Linked DNA regions of Daphnia pulex. The protein of the gene in region 5 purifies or fractionates together with the protein of the main gene of each other region. This does not show direct contact. Links are inferred from orthologs where the notes say so. Each region holds a gene or a part of one and is shown on either strand. Other genes may lie near its edges. The genes, in order: ubiquitin carboxyl-terminal hydrolase 22-like, transformation/transcription domain-associated protein-like, SAGA-associated factor 29-like, transcription initiation protein SPT3 homolog and transcriptional adapter 2-beta-like.

The links.
Region 1: the proteins of transcriptional adapter 2-beta-like (region 5) and ubiquitin carboxyl-terminal hydrolase 22-like purify together in Drosophila melanogaster (affinity purification with mass spectrometry; 3 studies listed by BioGRID, with this or other methods). This does not show direct contact. The link is inferred for Daphnia pulex from reciprocal best matches to the Drosophila melanogaster genes Ada2b and not.
Region 2: the proteins of transcriptional adapter 2-beta-like (region 5) and transformation/transcription domain-associated protein-like purify together in Drosophila melanogaster (affinity purification with western blotting; 4 studies listed by BioGRID, with this or other methods). This does not show direct contact. The link is inferred for Daphnia pulex from reciprocal best matches to the Drosophila melanogaster genes Ada2b and Nipped-A.
Region 3: the proteins of transcriptional adapter 2-beta-like (region 5) and SAGA-associated factor 29-like purify together in Drosophila melanogaster (affinity purification with mass spectrometry; 4 studies listed by BioGRID, with this or other methods). This does not show direct contact. The link is inferred for Daphnia pulex from reciprocal best matches to the Drosophila melanogaster genes Ada2b and Sgf29.
Region 4: the proteins of transcriptional adapter 2-beta-like (region 5) and transcription initiation protein SPT3 homolog purify together in Drosophila melanogaster (affinity purification with mass spectrometry; 7 studies listed by BioGRID, with this or other methods). This does not show direct contact. The link is inferred for Daphnia pulex from reciprocal best matches to the Drosophila melanogaster genes Ada2b and Spt3.

Annotation. Positions count from the first base shown.
Region 1 is NC_060023.1:10,811,925-10,815,984, reverse strand, and holds the start of ubiquitin carboxyl-terminal hydrolase 22-like, read right to left. Parts: upstream 2,813-4,060; 5' UTR 2,598-2,812; coding exon 2,475-2,597; intron 2,415-2,474; coding exon 2,282-2,414; intron 2,221-2,281; coding exon 2,005-2,220; intron 1,940-2,004; coding exon 1,767-1,939; intron 1,658-1,766; coding exon 1,512-1,657; intron 1,443-1,511; coding exon 1,323-1,442; intron 1,249-1,322; coding exon 990-1,248; intron 907-989; coding exon 728-906; intron 641-727; coding exon 491-640; intron 397-490; coding exon 354-396; 3' UTR 1-353. UniProt on the Drosophila melanogaster protein: Histone deubiquitinating component of the transcription regulatory histone acetylation (HAT) complex SAGA. Catalyzes the deubiquitination of histone H2B, thereby acting as a coactivator in a large subset of genes.
Region 2 is NC_060018.1:6,526,825-6,531,032, forward strand, and holds the start of transformation/transcription domain-associated protein-like, read right to left. Parts: upstream 2,807-4,208; 5' UTR 2,542-2,806; intron 2,479-2,541; 5' UTR 2,474-2,478; coding exon 1-2,473. Other genes in the region: splicing factor 3B subunit 4-like, read right to left, coding at 3,216-3,306, 3,372-3,781, 3,841-3,885, 3,946-4,208. UniProt on the Drosophila melanogaster protein: Part of the Tip60 chromatin-remodeling complex which is involved in DNA repair. Upon induction of DNA double-strand breaks, this complex acetylates phosphorylated H2AV in nucleosomes and exchanges it with unmodified H2AV.
Region 3 is NC_060019.1:9,072,664-9,075,834, forward strand, and holds SAGA-associated factor 29-like, read left to right. Parts: upstream 1-1,159; 5' UTR 1,160-1,279; intron 1,280-1,338; 5' UTR 1,339-1,436; coding exon 1,437-1,475; intron 1,476-1,537; coding exon 1,538-1,672; intron 1,673-1,732; coding exon 1,733-1,855; intron 1,856-1,918; coding exon 1,919-2,077; intron 2,078-2,143; coding exon 2,144-2,372; intron 2,373-2,453; coding exon 2,454-2,632; 3' UTR 2,633-2,660; downstream 2,661-3,171. Other genes in the region: uncharacterized protein LOC124191408, read right to left, coding at 2,734-2,874, 2,932-3,030. UniProt on the Drosophila melanogaster protein: Component of both the SAGA and CHAT histone acetyltransferase complexes, which both predominantly acetylate histone H3.
Region 4 is NC_060027.1:750,357-753,822, forward strand, and holds transcription initiation protein SPT3 homolog, read right to left. Parts: upstream 2,062-3,466; 5' UTR 1,898-2,061; coding exon 1,843-1,897; intron 1,778-1,842; coding exon 1,600-1,777; intron 1,532-1,599; coding exon 1,225-1,531; intron 1,163-1,224; coding exon 905-1,162; intron 866-904; exon of another isoform or gene 836-865; coding exon 689-835; 3' UTR 688-688; coding exon of another isoform or gene 568-687; 3' UTR 507-567; downstream 1-506. Other genes in the region: DALR anticodon-binding domain-containing protein 3-like, read left to right, coding at 1-141, 211-506, 568-687; HEAT repeat-containing protein 6-like, read left to right, coding at 2,337-2,522, 2,578-2,826, 2,897-3,133, 3,198-3,282, 3,343-3,466. UniProt on the Drosophila melanogaster protein: Component of the transcription regulatory complex SAGA, a multiprotein complex that activates transcription by remodeling chromatin and mediating histone acetylation and deubiquitination. The SAGA complex predominantly acetylates histone H3.
Region 5 is NC_060026.1:11,480,942-11,485,074, reverse strand, and holds transcriptional adapter 2-beta-like, read right to left. Parts: upstream 2,814-4,133; 5' UTR 2,740-2,813; coding exon 2,733-2,739; intron 2,660-2,732; coding exon 2,562-2,659; intron 2,418-2,561; coding exon 2,358-2,417; intron 2,300-2,357; coding exon 2,143-2,299; intron 2,080-2,142; coding exon 1,841-2,079; intron 1,775-1,840; coding exon 1,533-1,774; intron 1,466-1,532; coding exon 1,234-1,465; intron 994-1,233; coding exon 938-993; intron 757-937; coding exon 513-756; intron 442-512; coding exon 379-441; intron 315-378; coding exon 213-314; 3' UTR 151-212; downstream 1-150. Other genes in the region: eukaryotic translation initiation factor 3 subunit F-like, read left to right, coding at 3,039-3,147, 3,320-3,608, 3,676-3,767, 3,826-4,076. UniProt on the Drosophila melanogaster protein: Component of several Gcn5-containing histone acetyltransferase complexes that regulate nucleosome organization; involved in acetylation of histone H3, particularly on Lys-10 (H3K9ac) and Lys-15 (H3K14ac).

The DNA.
Region 1 (4,060 bases), on a different chromosome or scaffold from region 5:
GTTGCTTGGGATTTACAATCAAAAGAATCCAAAGGGCAGAAACACCAATGGGAGGGTTTATGTCAGAGAAATCTCGCTTTTTTTTTCGTCTTTCAATTCCTTGTTCTAACCATTTTGTGTTTTTTTCATATTTTATTGAATCGTGAAAAAAGAAAAAATGAAAATGGTCGTTTTCTACGGTCATTAACCGCCGATGAACTGTCTGGAAGTGGAAGTGAGAAAGGGAAATTAAAAAAGGAAAAACAAAACAAACAAAAAAAAGGTCTTGTGAATGGAGGGATGGATGTTGCATGCAAAAAAAAAAAAGTTGACTCGGTTGAGCTGCCCTTTACAAACATTTTTCTTCTCCATTTCTATTCATACTCCAATATCATCTTGTGGTAGAAGAGTAGGTACCTGAAAAACCAAATCACCCAATTAATATCCAAGAACAACCAAGCAAATTGCAAAATATTTTAAACTAAGTTTGTTTTTGTGGAATATTTGATACCCTTCACTTTGGAGGACGTCGCGAATATCAGCTTTGGTGATGAGATGGTCATCGCACTTGAACCAATGGTCTCGGTGCTGCCGGATGTAGGCCGTGTAGTGACCGGCTTCAATGGTTCCGACGTGGTTGATCACAGCAAATAGAGAATACCTGGTGGGGTGAGAAGGAAGGAAGCAACGAGGATTCCGTCACAGTCACATTCGGTCGTTTTCTCAATAAACCGAGCAACAAGTTTACATGTTTTCAGTGGAAATAAGGGGCTTGTGGACGGGCCTATCAGCCCGGTCCGGAGAATCCGAATTGACGTTGTTATTGATGTTTCGACGGTGGGACATGAATGGACTCATGTCCAGGTATTCTGGAAAGGCGATGAATGACGAGATCTTCTTATGGAATCGATTGGAATGTTCAAAGCGCTGCATAAAGTAAAGAAAAAAATAACGATGAGTGGTTCATAATATGACGTTCAAAGTCAATAAAAAAACAAAACAATACGCACCTTTAGGTGAAAACTAGCAACCACTGGCAGTTTCTTCATCGTCAGTTGTTTTGTGGATTCTTGGTAGCTAAGACATCGCGAACACTTGATCTTAGCCGAAGATCCCAAGTGCTCTGCCCGGGTGAATCGCTCCAAACAGTCCTGCAAGGAAGTGGGAATCGATCCAGGGCCGTTGCCAGTGGTGACGACTTTCGTGCTGGGTGACGGACCGAGGTCCAGGGAAATATCCCAAAAAGGATCTACTGTTGTAGAGACACCGCTGCAGTGAACAAAAACAAAATAACCGTTAAGACCAGCAAATTTAGGACATCAAACATTTGAAATAGTTATTACTGGCAAGCTTGACAAACGACGTCTGACTGCAAACCACCAGTGAAAATTTGATCTATGATACATGTGCACCGATTGACAGAGTTCTCTTGAGGCTGAGTCGACTGTTGCTCATTTGGTCCTCTGTTAAAAATCATTTATATTTAGAATGTCACGTTTCTCACGACTTTTATAGCCAATGAATAATTTCACCTGCAGTGTCGATGGAGTACATCCAAAGTTGCTATGAAAAATTCGTGGGCGTCTTGCTGTTCATATCCAGCTAAATGACGAGCGTGAGTCCATATCAAGTGAAGAAGTCGGTGCAATGTCAGAGGAGCCTTGTTCCCCGAATAGAACTGCGAAAGAGAAGATTAAAAAAGAAGCGATAAGTCTAGTAGGAGTGTTATGAATCCGAAAATAGATTTCTCACAGGAAACGAGGATTCTTGTTTTTTGGATGACATACCTCTTGGAATAGGCGAGAGATTTCGCAGACCAGACAGCGACTCGGTTCGTCTTGGAACTGACAAATATGACGATCCGACAAGAAGAAATCTCTGAGAAGAGGTACTTTTAAGAGAGCCTGTACTATGCAGTTCATGAAACAGGTGTTGCCCAAATTCACTAGACCTCTGAGTCCTGCCATGAATGAAACATGGAGTTAAGATAAAAGATTGGATAATGAATTTTTTTAAATAATGAACCGATAGTGGCAGAGTCTGTGATCTTCTTGCGTCGTGTATGCTTTTTGAGGAGCTCAATTTCTTCCTCAGAAGGTTCCCATGAATGATAGACTTGACCCAGTCCCAAGGAGAGAGAAGCTTTGGTTTGATGCTTTTGAGCAATAGTTTCCAATTCTCGGTCATAGACGTAATCCCCACACTGAAAGCAGCACACAACTCCATAAGTCAGATCTACAGCTGTAAAAAAAAGGAGGCTGCATTAGTATCAATGAGATTTGATTTTTGGTTGTCGAATTACCTAAGAAATGTTTCCGCTGCTGAGAGTGGGCCTGTATGTGACCAGCACCATAGCAGCCAAAGAAAATGCAGTGAAGGCAGGCATGAAGCCTGGGTCCTCTTCGCTGACAGACATGACACACACACGATTTGGCCTAGCAACAAAAATGATGAGTAAAGGAGTGATTTAAAAGAAACAATACTTGAACTCTTACCTTGCGTTTACGGGCTTCTGAAGATGTGCATGCCACAAAAAAGGAATGAATGAGCCGGTAGGGCCTAGTCCCCTTGGCCGCTTTGAAGTTGTTCAAGTGGAGACAGCCATGGGCAGCCGACATGGCCACCGACGGTGAATTAGACTTGGGCAAAATGTTGGCGGCTTTATAATTCCACACGTTTTAATAGAGACCTTATAGAAAATTAATAAATTTCGGCCTCTACAAGCCCAACCTCGACGGCTTTCTCAAGAAGAAACAATTTATCTAAACGCCATAGCTTCTTTCCTTTTCTGTAGGCCAAAAAAAAAAATTTATTCTGCTAAAATGGTAAAGCGCCATCGCCATCTTCTGTCCAAAATAACAACCTCGTGCAACGTTGAGCAGACAAGATTTTTTTGAGGAAAAATGGAGGGAGATTTTTGTGTGAAAACCGCAGACAACAAATCAATTATATCCTGGCCGCCGGAAATGTGGTAACCGCTAGCTTTTGTTCGGAAATAATACATGGACTAGTGAACTTTTTTTTTGGTGCAGGAAGCAATTCCCCAGGAGATAACCTCATTTTATATAATGATTTCAAAAGATTGGAACGAAACGTGTTTTTGTTTCCCCCTTTTCTTCCGAATTCAAGATAATTGGCAATGTTTTGGCTGGGTGAAAATGAGGTCGGGATTTCGAAGAAGACGTTTTGCCAGAATCAAAATGCTCGTGGAATGTGAAACTCTTGCATTAAAAAAACAACAATGTTGGAAAGTGATGTTTACACGGATGATGAAGCCCTTGGATGAAGTGAAACGGAGTGGAATAAAATCGAAAGTTGAGCTATTGCAACGAGCCGTGAAATAACCAAACGTCACCGTCTCCTTTATCGACGATATTCGACCACAATGGCCGAGATCGACGACGTGTGCAACACATCACATTTCTGCCATAAGTAAGTGGCAACTGGTTTGCAATCAATTTTGGCAATCAAACTAGATTATGTCGGCGATGCATTTCAATCGCCACATGTCTGAATGAATTAAGATCAATCCAAGGTTAATAAATTCGACATGGTCAATCAGCTGGTGTGTGTGTGTAAATAGTTATCTCTCCCCACGTGTTAAGTCATTCTTGACGCGAAATTTTCATAATAACGCTTTCGAGGTGGCCAAAAAACCATGTGATATCCAATTGGACACGATGTGTCGTGAATAATGATGCTGTTGTGGAATAATCTTGTGGCCTTGAAAGTCAAAATCTTGAAGAAAAGAACTTGGGGATGTCTGCCAGTGTTATATAGTCGAAATGCCCTTCAAAATGGATTCTTTTTCATTTTATTTTTCTTTTCTTTTAGGTTCTCGAAGCTTAACTTTATAGCTGATAATAGAAAAAAAAAGGACTCCCAAAGCCCCTCGAGGACGTGAAGAAGAAACTGGAAATGTGTCTAAATGGCCGCTGGAGAAGAACTCGCTTCCCAATATTTAAGTATATACATGTTTTTCTATACTTTCAAACGTATCCAACAACCCTATGGCTTCGCCCTGCTGATGACCAGCCCATATAAGTATACGGTAATTCCCTTTTTTCTCTCGAGACCTGCT
Region 2 (4,208 bases), on a different chromosome or scaffold from region 5:
GAAGTCCACTTTGAAGACTGTTTAGACTTTGAAGAAGATTCGGAAGCAATGGCAAAAATTCTTGATAAAGGAGGTCATGACTACCTCCGCCGATGGATCGAAAAAGTGCCCGCAGCAGGAGGAAATAGTTGTAGGGCTCTTTAGCACTCAAAGCTAATTCCATAGATTTGTTGACAATGTGCGGTAGATGTGGCTTTAACATTTGTTCATTCTCCGCAGCAAACAAAGAAACGCTACCAAACACAAGTTTGAACAACTTCAAATAAAGATTAGAACGCTCCATGTTCAATCCCATTTCTTCCATGTGATTCAGCAAATATTCGACGAGGATGGTGGCGAAAACAGCGGAGGTGGAAGGGTTTGCAAGAAATGAATTTGCAACTACCTGCAAAGCGCTATTGCGGTAAATGCGCTCTACCACGTAGTCAATTGTTGTGGCAAATACTTCCTTGAAAGTCTGCGGATTCATCATGGCGAAAACACCAGCAAAATGTTCCAATACTTCTTTTTCTTCTTTAGAGCGAATAGTTTGTGCTGGAACAGTCGGCCGAGCAGCGGAAGCCCCACCGACCGGAAAGCCAACGACGGTGCTATTAAGACTGCCAGAGGTCTCCGCTCCGACCGCACTCGGAATATTTAAGGCGTACACATCAAGTGCTTTCATCGCCCACTGCACCAAACGGATGAATATCACCGTTTCTTTAGGTTGCAAATTCTTGCCTGTAGTAGCAACACTAGTCGTAGTATCGAGTGGAGTTTTGCAGGCCGCACATCCCCAGGTGATGGTTTTCACACCGCACACAAGCGTTTTAACTAAGCTTCGACATTCAGTGATGCTGAAGACAGGTCCCGCAACTCGAACAGCAAACTTCATCGTTTTCTCTTTTTCATCTAGAAGAACTAAAGATGACCGAGTATCTTCCGGTTTCGTTTCATTCGCAGATGACGGTGAAGATGACGGTGGTGCAGCTCCATTCTGTGACCAACTTAACGAAGGAGAAGAAGGAGGCTCAGTACTAGGGGTTGCATTTGTTCCACTGTTGTCTTGCTTGTTCTTTGTCCCAGCTAAAATAGGCAACTGTAATTTCACGATGCTTTTGAATTTTAAAACAAAAACTTCAAGCATTTCTATCAGCAACTCTCTTCCAGGTCCATTTTCAACATCTGAACGTTGTCGTATGCACTCCACCAAATTCAGCAATAACTTGCAAGACATAGTCTGAATGCTTGTTGGAAGCGATTCGTCATGAACGTTTTTTGAGAATAGATGAACTGCACGAGCAAGGTCAAGCATTGGAAGGTGTTGTCGAACATGATGAACGAGGTCAGCTAACGTACTATAGGCTAAAGGTCTTAAAGATTCATTAGTTGTCCAACCTTTGCCAAACAGTAAATTTTCGTCAAATAAGCGCTCCATGAATGGAATGAAATGAAGACGGAGGTCAGTTGCCAGGATGTGCCTTGATGCTATCAGCAATTCTTTCCTCAAATGAGCAACTTCCATGGGGCACAGACTTAAGAGTCCCAGTATACCCTTAACCATTAGAGTAGCTTGTTGAGCAACAGCTTCTTGATAAATGCGAATGATGTAGGCCAGGAAAGATAGCGTTTTGATTTGGGCTCCAATGAAGTCTACAAAAATTTCTTTGTTAAATGCAGGATTTGCCTTGTGCTGGGCTGATGGCTGAAGGGTAATTGTAGTCATGATGAGAGGTATAAACTCTGCTACATCTTGATGAACATTATGCTTGTAAAGTTGATACATTAGGACCACAATTATTGGGAGTTCCTGCAAAACTTTCAACGACAACACTCCTTTTGGTATCAAATTATATGATATGTTGTTTCCATCAGGAGTTCGTGTTTCTGTGAGAACAACAGTGGCAGTAAATGTTTCAGCAAGTACTGCTTCAATGTTTAATTCACTTAAATCTTTAACTTTGATGGGGCTCCTTGGTTCAAATATCTTGTTTAGTTGATTCGGTAGGTCACGGTAGATGCCTTTGACAAATTGTAGAAAAGTTTGGATCTCCACACTATATTGGGGACGGTACTGTTTGTGAAGTTCAATTATGATTCGAAGACATATCAGCACATTATCTTCATTTTCTCTCTCAAGTAATCTGAACATGAGGTTAAGTGATTGTTTCACATATGGCCTTAAGTGTTCATTGGTGGGAAGACGATGAAACATTTCCAAAATCAATTTTCGGACTTGCTGAATGTTGTACTCTGCAATGAAGAGTGGTTCACTGTCTTGCAGTATCTTGAGAAAATTTTTCATAGCATGATCCAAGAATGCTGGATACTGTGGGGAACTGACAATGACTTCCAAATTTTCACTTAGCTCTTGGGCTGCTTTTAGTTTGTTCTCATCCTTTGCCCCAGGATCGGAGAGCATTGAAACAAAAGAGGTAAAAGTATTCATTTGGGCCACAACATCCAACCCAGGTACCGCATTAGAAGGCCCCATTTTATCTAAATGAATGAACAACATTGAAAAATTGTTCAAAAAAAAATGAAAAAGCTCAGACTCCTCACCTGTAGTTGACGAAGTCGTGTGGTAACGTCAATTCAAATGTAGCGTCTCAGGTAGGGTTCAAAAACAATTTATATAGGCTACTCAAGATTGACATTGTTTAAAGAAGGTATTATAGATAATGACAAGCTAGAAAACAGCTAACATCATTAAGCAGATTTATGAACGGATTGAATAAAATTCAGAATAAACGCCTGTACGCTTCACCACAGAGCCAGACTGCTTCATTTACTATTTAAAACTTAAAAGTTGACTAAAGAATCATGCTTATTGCTGAAATGAAAAACAGGCCGCAACACATGAAAATCATTCACTCATCGAGAACAAACGAGTCATGTAGCACCATCTGTTGGGTGAAATAAAAATACGGAAATGGACAGAAAATGGAGCCATCTGTGAGTAAAAGCAATTCAAGAGTCAGTTTGTAATTTTGTTAGCGTACATTTAGTTACACTTTACAAAACAGAAAGGAACTAATTCTTTACTGCATAACAGAGCTAATTGATCGAATAAAATATTCGTAAAAAAATTAGTCTGATGTTTTTAATTTACGATTTAATGGATTCAACATAAGCGTAACTATCTCGAAGCAGATCCCAAAACAGTCGCAAAGTCAAAGAAATGTGTTTATTACTTTATTTTGTATTTCAGACATACATGAAATGAATAAACGAAATCAAACGGGAGGTGGAATTGGAACAAATCCAGTTGATGGTGGTGGCGGCGGCGGCGCCCAGGAAGGCGGGGGCGGCGGAATCGGAGCTAACCTAAAATATGAATGTTGATTCTATATAGTAAATATTCATATGAATCTAATCACTATTATATTTACGGAAGAAAATTCGAAGATGGAGGTGGTGGAGGTGGAGGAGCCCAGGTGGGTGGTGGAGGAGGAGGTGGAGGCATCGCCATTGTAAGTCCTTGCAACGGAGGTGGGGGAGGTGGAGGCAATCCTGACATTCCCATGTTGCTCATTTGCGGAGGAATAGGAGGGGCATCGGCAAAAAGTTGATGAGGCCGATCTGTCTGAGCAAGAGGATTTTGTGCTGCCAGAAGCCTTTCTGCTGCTGATCCATGGCGTTCACCCTTAGAATCCTTCTTGAAGGCATATGATATAGTAATTGGCCTATTACATAAATATTGGCCATTCATGGCTTCAATGGCAGCATCAGATGCATCAAAACTGGCAAAGTTGATGAATGCAAAGCCTTTTGAATTCCCTGTTGTAGGATCCCTCATGATCTGCATTCAAAAAAACAAAATAGTAAAATTTAAAACCCCAACAATGATTTCAAATTTACCTTTGGTGTCTGAAGAATTACGCCAAATGCTGAAAATGTGTCATACTAAAAAAGCAATAATAGATTAAATTGTGTTTTGAACCTAAAGGAATGCTGATTGGTTACCAAAAGTTTTTCATCAACTTCAGGATCTAAGTTTCCAATGAAAATATTTGCTCCAACATCTAAGTTTTTCTGGTGTGCTGATGCTTTGTTTACCCGAATGGGTTTACCATACAGCTTTATCATGTTCATAATTTTACATGCGTAGTCAGCATCATCTTCACTGAGGAATTCTATGAATCCGTATCCTTGATGCAGTAAAGTAATCCGATCTTTAGGCATATGCACATTTACTACAGGACCACCTTGAACGAACAACTCCCACA
Region 3 (3,171 bases), on a different chromosome or scaffold from region 5:
ATTTCTGTTTTATATTTAAAAAATACAATTCTATTGAGCAAATCTTTTCACAAAAGCTCTTAATTAGAAACATATAGTTGTTGTAAAATGTCATCTAAATCGAGAATTCAATGTCTGACCTGATTCCTGACAAAAATCACATGTGTAGCACACACTTTTAAAGTAGACTAAAATATAGGCAAATTCTAACCCACTCGAGTGTTCTAACAAGTTAAGTGCATGTCTGTGAAAGCTCTTGGCATAATTCAACTGGAAATTGAAACAATTTGCAAAACAAAACGTAATGAAGCTCAGGCTTTACTGCTCAACAGTTAATAGAAAAATTTAAATTACTTTTTGAAACAAAGTCACACAATTTTAATTCAGAAACAAAGTCTTGAATTAAAAAGTTAAGCAATAATTACTTTTTACTGTTCTGCATGGAACGAAACGTGCAACATTCAGCAAGAGACGACATTGTGGGAATGTACAGCAGGCCACATGCGATTACCAATTATGAATTGAAGACAATGTTACACGTTTTGAACCACACACAAAATTAAATTTTATAAAATTAAAGAATAAAAAATGGAATTACCATGTCTATGATCAACAATGTCACGTAAGAAAGTACCAGCAATGACTAAATTTTACCTTCTCGGACAGCGTCTCGACAGCAAAAGAAAGACTGTTCTGTCAGTCGTCTCAGGACTTTGACAGTTTGATGACCCATCCCCCTACACCCCTCTAGAAACAAACACACTAGAGCTGAATAGTTCAATCCCTAAACACGCTGAAATATTTAGCCACCTAGTGACAGCCCTGAGCATCCACGGACGACTAGAATGGGACGGAAAATAAACGAAATATTCGTCATCTCCGTGAAATACATTTAGTAGATAAAAAAAATTATCGAAAAATTAACAGGTGAGCTTTCTTGGTGGAATAGTTATCGTCAGTCATCACCAAAAAGTTACCACACAATGCCGATACATTTTTACAGGGATGTGCAAAATATTAAAATAACTGACTACAAAATAACTAAATAATTTGAGAGTTGAAAATGATCAAAGGCTATATAATAAAACCACTCGAAAAAAAGGCCTGATTTAGAAATTATTGCCATGGTTATACAATTTGAGCATGCTCATGCCATCTGCTAATGACGAATGGAACTAATACAGTTGATGCCATAGTTGCCATGGTGACGACAAAGCAACTGCCGATGTTACGATTTTCAATTTATTGTTTGGAAGGCTGATTTCCGATGACTGTTTTTAAACTCATCTTCATTAATTTAGTAAGGTTATTTTTCTGTGCATAAAAGATATGTAAATTTCAGAATTTAATTTTCTTTAGTTCTTGGTTTTCTTGGTGGCTTTTGCTTGGATTCCAGTCATCATTGCTGGTTTGAGCTCATCATTTAGGAGAGGTAGTTGTTATTAAACATATACATCATGGCTTTGTCATTAGATTCTGCCACACAGCAAGTCCAAGTAAGGTTGATATAATCAGTTGTTAAGGTATTTACTTAGTTCTAATTTGGATTGGGGTGCAGGAACGATTGAAGGGGATCTACAAGTTGGTCAAGCAGATTCAAGAAGAGAAAGTTCGTAATGAAGGTAACTTAAATGCTGTTATCAAAGCTCATGAAAAACTTCAGTCAGATGACAAAATTTCTCCATATCACAAGGTATTTCTATTCCCATATCACTAATTAATCAGCACTAATGAATGCCTATAAAATTATCAGTCTAAATTAAAAGGACTGTATTGCTCTGTGGTGGCTGATGCTGAAAAAGAAGAGGACCTTATTCGTAAGGCATTAAGCAAAATCTATGAAATTCGCGTTATCAGACATGAAAGGAGAATTCAGGTTATTCCCAAGAACGTAAACTTAGAAAATTTCACCTAACATTGTACTAACATTCTTGTTCAGGCAAAACAAGCTGGCAGTAAGGAAACTATAAGAAGAGGTGCTCTCATGAAAATGCTTCTCGTTACTGCTCAAACTCTCCCGCTGTGGATCAGTAAGTCAGGACAACAGCCACCAGCATTATGTGGAGCAGTTCCAGCTGACCCAACTTACGTTGCCAAAGTATTACATTATTCGAATGTCATAAACTGTTAATTGACTAACCGAAACACCTTATATGTATGTCAGCTGGGAGATATTGTTGCGGCTTTGGTAAAGAGTACAGACGGCGATGAGAATTGGATTTTGGCAGAAGTCGTTCAATATTTAGCTTCTTCTGGGCGCTATGAAGTGGATGATATTGACGAGGAACAGAAAGAGCGACACACTTTAAGCAAACGCAGAGTAATTCCTCTTCCTTTGATGCGAGCTAATCCTGAAACCGATCCCGATGCTTTGTTCTCAAAAGGAGCCACTGGTAAAAACAAAACAAAAAAATCGCAAATTTTAGCTGATCCGACGTTAGCATATTATTAACATACTAAACATTTGTTTTTAGTCATGGCTTTGTATCCACAAACGACCTGTTTTTACAAAGCGGTAATCAATCAATTACCCCAAACAGCTCAAGATGAATACCAAGTTCTTTTTGAAGATTCTAGCTATACTGAAGGATTCAGTCCGCCTTTGATGGTGGCGCAACGATATGTCATAGCTATCAAAGAGAAAAAGAAATGATTTCAAATACATTTGACCCTTTTTTCTATTCTCTCTTCTGTACAGCAGGATTTGTGTTTTTCACTACTTCTTCCAACCACGTATGAAACATGAAATAGAATCTAAATGGGGGAGTTTTTGAATCCGTAGTCGGCGTAGTCAGAAGGCTTCATTTTATCGGAAACTTTAGGGAAGTTCGGATCTCCTGGGTAAACTGCGGGTCTGGAGCCGAAAATTGCAAATCCTTTCTTGCGAGTCCAGTCCTAAAAGTTAAAATGTAGTATTTTGGGTGCTGTCCACTATTAGAGGCAAATACTTACATGAGAGTTGTACTTCAGATTGTAGGTAATTCCCAAAACCAGCCATCCAGCAAGAAGATATTTACCAACCCAATAGCGAGTAATCTGAGTTTTGTCGCCCTATGAATAAGAAAAAGAATTAGAACACAGATTTTATGAATTATGTAGTAGTCTCACAACCACAAAATGGACAGTTAATTAATTTTTAAAAGTAAAGTGTTTTAGTTCACATTACATCTGCTCGAACTAAATCGGGGAAAT
Region 4 (3,466 bases), on a different chromosome or scaffold from region 5:
GGCATCCAACGGAAGGTAAAAGTATGTCTGAAGCATGGATCACAGAGGCTGTTATCAGTTATGATTTCTTGCACAATGACACCACAAAACCAATGCATGCGGTAGGACTAGCTGGACTAGAAATTGATCCTCAATTCAGAGGTATTCAGTTTACCAAAATCATGGTTCCTTTTTAATAACTAATTATTGAATTTTTCATTTCTATTTTAGAAGCAATAAAGGTTTTGTACAACAGAAGTAGGGTTGCCTGTATACTTCAAAAATTTTCTGATGGAGTGGATTGCTCACTTTACCCTCCACTGCCAAGTTTGGATACGACCAATTTTAAGTTGCTGAAGCATAAAGCAGAAATTGAAATCACCTCCAAATATATTGCTGGATTTGTTCCTATGCTGAACAAATTTTCACTCACTCGCATCGCAAAGATAACTTCAGAGTTATGGCGATTTTTGCTATTTTTATCGCAGGATTATTCCCATTACTACAGTTCAGTTCGCACCCTATGTGTGAGTATTCTTTATTCAGGTTTCTTGCATACAATTTTACATTAAAGTTTCCTATTTTTAGGATGAACACAACCGATCGCATCCAACAATGCACGCACGAATTTGGATGTTGAAAGTGATATTAACAATTTACGACGCAGCTTTCGCCATATTGAATTTGAAGCCCTTGCAGTACGTTTAAATTACAGTGCCAGAAGTCGATGTCCAGGAGGAGGAACACCATTTCTTCGGAATGGAGAAAAAATTGAGTTGTGTGTATTGTTGAACCGTCTGATGGCCTCAGAGACTTCCGCTGTTTGAAGAGGTTTCATCGAATTTGACCATGTCGGCTAAAAATACGGAAATTTTGTTTTAAAGAATGATTATAATTATTGTAACATTCATTTTAATCCTTTTACCTTGAACAAATCAGCATTCGCTGGAGATACTCTTGGTGCAGTGTTACGTTGAACTGCGTCACTCACTTGCCCAGCCATATTGTCTCTTCGTACTATGAAGGCCAGATCTACTATTTGTGCGATGGTTTCGTAAGCAAAGTAACTGAGAATAGACCAAGCTGTCGCACTTAAAGCAACCTCAGGAGCTGGAGAATCTTTAAGTAACCAATCTTGAAATTTACCAGAAGGCTGGCCTCTCTTAAATGAGGTAGATTTGGCCTGACAAAAACAATTCTGTTAAATCTAGATTTTGAAAAAGCAGTTAGGTTGAATCAAAATACTTGAGAATATTCAATGTACTGCCCCTTCTCCATGGCTAATGTCATTCTCTCAATCCTTTCATTTCGTTCCTTGAGGGCATCATCAGGTAACAGGAAAGGTTTAGATGGATCTGCCACATTACACAGATAACATGATGGATCAAGGTGTTGTAGGAATGCAAGAGCAGAATTCAGTTTTTTATTTCCAGTGTGAAGATCAGAAAATTCAGTCATTATGTCTTTAGGCAAATCATCTTCTTTTGCCAAATCCTTAAACCCACTGGCTTGTAAATAGGTGCAAAATCTTCTCAGTTTAACTGGACTGTGCCTAATTTAACAGAAATCACTTCAATATATTGAATAACTTGAGATATTGTTAAACTGAAGGTTACCTACCTAAGTAAGACTAGAAATTCTTTGATACCAATTTTCTTTGAGTTAATTTTAACAGCAACCTCAGACAGTGCATTCAGGAACTGAATTAGTTGTTCCTTCACAATTTTCTCTACTAATTCAGCAGTTTCTTTCAGCGAATATTTGCTGTCGCCAAATCCATACATCATTTTTTGGATTTCTAAACATGTCGAATTAAATGTAGTTAGGAAATGTTGACATTGTTGGTCGTTAATATGAACTTACCCAAGATGTACCATCCATCGGTGGAAGAATTAGTGGATACATCAGCAGCTGGCATTTTTAGGAGATTGAGAATTTTGCTAATTTTTACAAAATATCAGTTGTGTTGGTATAATTCGTGTACCAAATAGTAATATCAACCGGTGTTTTCTAAAACTCCATTTGTTATTGTTTGAAGTCTGAACTGAACCCTAAAAGAAGGTATTGTGTGGTAGTCTGCTAGCCTAGCTAGACATATTTGAATTTGCCTCAATGCCAAAGCTAATTTTGAAACTATTTCAATTTTTTTCCCAAAATTTAGTAAGGAAAAAAAAATCTTTATTTTTTATGAACTTTTGAATGAACCACGCTTTCATTAATCTTAAACATTTTTCAATTAAGAAAAAAAAAAACCAAGCGGATGCCTTCGGTACTTCGTCGACACATAGCAGACGAAAATGTCGAAAAAATCAAGGACCTTCAATTTGTAAACAAAGTGTGACAATCGAGATAGAGTCATGGCTCTTTCTCAACTTAAATCATTAGACACAAATTATCTGACAGGGGTTCGAGAAAAGCTCAACCTATTGTTAGATAAGAAAAATGCAAATCCGGAAGAAATAACAAATTTCTTGGATAATCTGAACACCCTTTTCTTCGATCTTAAAAGGAAAGAATTGGAATCGTCGTCAGTCAATGTTCAAGTAAGATTCCATAAAAGTTATATTCATTTCACTGTTTAAAATCTTATGTTTATAGGATTCTGTAATTTTAGTATCAGATGTTTTAAAAATTGTGAAACATGAAGAATCTTTTAAAGTTGCCAAGACTTGTCAAATATGGGAACAAGTTTTACAACTTCCAAATGTACACTTAACAAGTCAAGCATCAGAGCAATTAATTGATTGGATTATAAAATCCCTTAAGAATGAAAATCATTTAATATTTACTGACATTTTCAATTGTCTTGCTGTGGCAGTCAACTTCAAAGAAGTTAAACAAACTAAAGTAGGTCTGAAACTGGGAATGAATGAAAAATTTTGAACAATAATGTTTCCCATTGAAATTACTAAATTAGGCTTTGGAGAAAGTGCTTAGTCCTTCTGGATTCTTGATCAATAAATTGAATGAAGAACAACAAATCAATAATCAAACAGTTCTCATTCTGAAAATTCTCTGCAATTTTACCAACTGTTCGGGAGAAAAGGATTGGTCTACAATATCAAAGGATGTAATTAACACATGTATCATCCAGTTCATAAAATTCCAAGAGCAACACCTAAATTCCGATCCAAACAATCTTAACCTTCTCAAGGTAAAACAGTGTTTCTTATAATGTCATGAAGAAATTTCTTAACCACATTCATTTATTTTACTAGGTTCTTAGTCTTTGTTTCTATGGATTAGAGAATACATTTGTTAGATTTACTGCTTCAACAGTGGCTCATTTGGAAAGTATCTTTAGTAAGGCTGCACATTTCGGAGACCTGCTTATTTGGATATGATATATATTCTTTATCTAAGGTCTAGCACGATACTACATGCTTTTTGGAATCGCTGGTCAGCCACTAAAGTACGCTCCAATTCGTCCATCATCCCTTCCATTTGTGGAACTTTCTTCCAAGTCAGATCAGACGAAGAATCCGAA
Region 5 (4,133 bases):
TCTTATTAAGATGAAAAAATCAGGTGATCTTTTATCTGATCAAACAAAAAAGGTTTATCATGCAAATTATATTAATATACTCAAAATTATTCGTAAAATTTAACTAATCTATCAAAACTAAAATGAAATGAATATTGGAAATTCGTTTAAAAAAAAACAGTTGAACTTTATTCAAAAAAGACACATATTTTTTCAACACAAAATTGCTGTTTTCACTCGACAGACAGAAAACCGGCTTTCGTAAAATAATTTACAATCATAGACTGCTCGTCAGCAGCCAGGCCGGGTAGGAGCGGAGTCTTGTCGGTCCCACTCTGAGAAAAAGATTTGTATTTTATTTCAAGTGAATAAATCAAGAGAGTGAATGATTCGACTTACCAATATGAGATTGGCCTTCAATGACGTATAGTACAATGGTCTCAAACGTAGATTTTGGCAAATCTGAGATTTAAAGGAAAACAATTATTGGATAAAACTTTAAAAATAATAATTATAATAATCGTTTCACTGACTTGCTTTTCAGCAGGACTGAGCAGTTCTGAACCGGGACATAAAGTGAGATCGTCGCTCTTGGCGAGGAAATTAGCAACTGCCTCCTGCCATTCTGACTGTGAAAGTCGGGTATTAGCGGAGAGTACGGGCCCGAGTCGAGGCAGACTGCTTGAAACGCTGAGGACGCTGCTGTTGTTGTTGCTGCCGAAGGAGGTGACTTTTGCGTCTCGAAAGCTTGAAAGTAGCACTTCTTCCCTTGCGTTGCTGCGAAAAAAAAAAAAAAAACAAAAAAAACAAGTTACATACATAAGCCACGAATTTACTTAACAATTCTAAGAACTAAGAAATATAGTTGAGATTTCGTAATATAATGCAAAGCTATCACAGGTAACTGATGAGTTAAACTGCACATAGTATGTAAAAAAGGGGAAATAATAAAGCTTACTCTGACTTGTGTAGTGTCCCAGGGTTTTGTACAATCGGCCCCGGTCCACTGCTTCCCTACGTTAAAGTCTATTGTTCAATTTCCAGTCTTTTTTGGGTTCTAATTTAACTAGCTTGTAAGATACTTAAAATAAAGACACATAAGTAAAAAAATAAAATCGAATATTCAACCAATGGACACCACCAATAATGATTCATTTCAACGAAGTATTAACAGGTAAATAAACCAGTCGCACACTCTTACTATCGCTTGACGAAACTATGCAAGCAATAGTACAGACTGGGAAAATTGCTTACGGATTTCCGGCGCTGGCGCTCCAACCGGGCTTCTTTCTTTCTTTCACGGAAGTATCGCAGTCGTTCATATTCAGTACATTCCTCATGTCGAGTTAATCCATTCCTACGGTATTTGATTAGTTCTCGAATCCGCAATCGCAAAGCTCTCTCTTTAGTTAGATTGCGTAAGAATTGCTCATGCTCAGGTGCCGTGTGGAATTGGGAAAACGAACGAAATTTTTCTTGCGTTTCTCTGTACAAGGAAAAAAATGTAACTGTTTGTAATGAATCTATAGTTAACTAATTGAAACATGAATTACTTTTCCTTTTGGGACTCCCTTTTTTTTGCGGCAGTCGTAGGTTTTTCCTTCTCTTTCTTGATAGCGTTAAAAAATTGGGATACCAGTTGAAAATCCCGAGCAACCCGCTTCCTTCGGGCTCTTTCCCTCAGGCGGCGAGTATACATATCGACTTGAGCCAGTTTTAGAGCCAAATCAATATCCTCGTCGTCATGATTAATGGCAAGATGAGAAACAATTGCCTCAGCTTCATTGTCATGTTCCTACAAAAAATAAAAATAATGTTGAAGTTTTTAAGACAATTTGTTTCATGACAAATTAAGACCCACCCTTTCAAAATCATCTCTTTGAGGCATGTATCCAAGTTCTAATGTTTCTTCAGGTTGAATAGCTAAAGGTGGTAGTCGTGATGTGATGGATGGAGATAGAGGTGCATTATCTGGACAAGTGTGATCAATTGCTGCCAAGCGAGACTCTCCACTTGCGAGAAGTCCATTTGGAAGCCCTTGCCATGTTAGTTTACCTATTGTTCCTGTGACAAATCTATCACAGTACTGTTCTTTGCATTCTGTAAAAAAAACATAATTGGAGAGTAACTGATGATAAAATCCTGATAAAAATCAACAATTACTTTCTGAATCCCGTGTTTCTACATGTTTCGCAACATCTTCCCAATTTCCATAACCAAACTGTTCTATTGCATCAAGTAACTGATAGTCTTCCCTTGCAATCCAGCCACCTTCATCCTCCCTTTGTTGGTCAGGAAAAATACTAAAAGTACCAGGATCCTAGAAATTAAAAATAAAGTATTTATTGAGAGTTTGATAGAAAAACTTAAATACTCACTATTAATCTATATCCATGACTACTTTTATGTGGTCCAATTTCACAGCCAAGAGAGAAACACTAGAAAGAAACATTGCAAAACTGTGTTATTAAAATAATTCAAATTCGCCGCCGACCAACCGGCAATACCACTCCGGTGGGCGTCATAACAAACAACAAAGAAGGAAGGGGAGGGATTCATTCAACGAAGATTTTATACCACACCTGTAAACAAAGTTCGTAATCGACACAAACGTTACATCGGATTCGAATGCCAAGGATGTCGTCCTGACAGTAGCCACATCGATGCTTCATAAATAAATCTGAGGAATGGATACAGAAAGAAAGATTTTCAATTTTCGAAAATAAGGATTCAACGAGAGCATTTTTTTTTACCCGCCATCTTTAGCCTTCCCTTCCCATCAAGAACAACTAAGCTATGCCAACGCTAGCGAAAGCATTGGTCGCGCCCTCTGGTGACTGAGAAGTGAGAAGTCTTTAAAAAATAATTAAAATGACGTGTAAAATTTATAAACAATGTACACCGTACATTTTATTAAATTAAATTTTTTTTAATGTATAACGAGACGTGTTTGGTAAATAGAAATAATTCAACGTATTATATATCACCAATTGGCAACTAGTTCGTGTCGGCTTTTTCAGCTCCAATGCGGTAGTGGTCTGCAAAAAAAGTCACGCAAAATGGCTCTCAATCTGACTGTCAAGTTGCATCCTGTTGTATTATTTCAGATTATTGACTCTTATGAGCGTCGTAATCCTGATGCACAGAGAGTAATTGGAACGTTGCTTGGTAACATACAATTTAGATCATCCGTTTGCTTTCGCGTTTTATTGTTTTTTCGACTGTTGACACGTGTATCGGTATCGAGTACCTGACAAAATCTTTGGATTATATACCTAAATTCCTATAATATGCGAAATCGAAGTTGTGATAACTCATTTTTCATATTGATTTTTTCCAGGCACATCAGATAAAAATGGTGTGGAAGTGACCAATTGCTTTTGTGTGCCTCACAATGAATCAGAAGAAGAAGTGGCTGTGGAATTGGACTTTGCCAAGGATATGTATGACTTGCATCGTAAAGTTAATCCCCAAGAAAGCATTGTAGGTTGGTGGGCAACTGGTACTGGAGTCACATCTCACTCTGCTCTTATTCATGAGTACTACTCCAGAGAGTCCTCCAATCCTGTTCACATTACAGTGGACACCACATTGCAAGATACCCGTATGGGAATCAAAGCTTATGTCAGGTACATGCTATTAATTCAGTATGATACAATTGCTTTGAAAAATAATTATCTTTAAATTATCATCTAGTGTCCCAATGGGTATCACAGGCAAAACTATGGGATGCATGTTTGCTCCTGTTTCTGTTGAGATAGCATGCTATGACCCAGAAACTATTGGATGTAATTATAATAGAAAATGTGTATGTATACTGGGAATTAATCTTTGATTGTTTTTCAGTAAATGCCTGCCAGAAAACCAAAACCTCGGTTAAACGTCAAGCGGGCATCGCTTCGGATCTTACTCAGATTGTTGAAGCCTCGCAGCAGATGGAAAACATGCTGGACACTATCTTGGCTTATGTTGACGACGTAATGAGTGGCTCCAAAACGGCTGACAACACGTTTGGTCGTTCTCTATTAGATATGGTTCATTCGGTACCTAAAATGACACCCGACGAATTTGAAGAGATGCTTAATTCAAACCGAAAGGTAGAAAACATTACCCAATATTTACTTATTTAATCTAATTTTTGTAAAACTTTATTA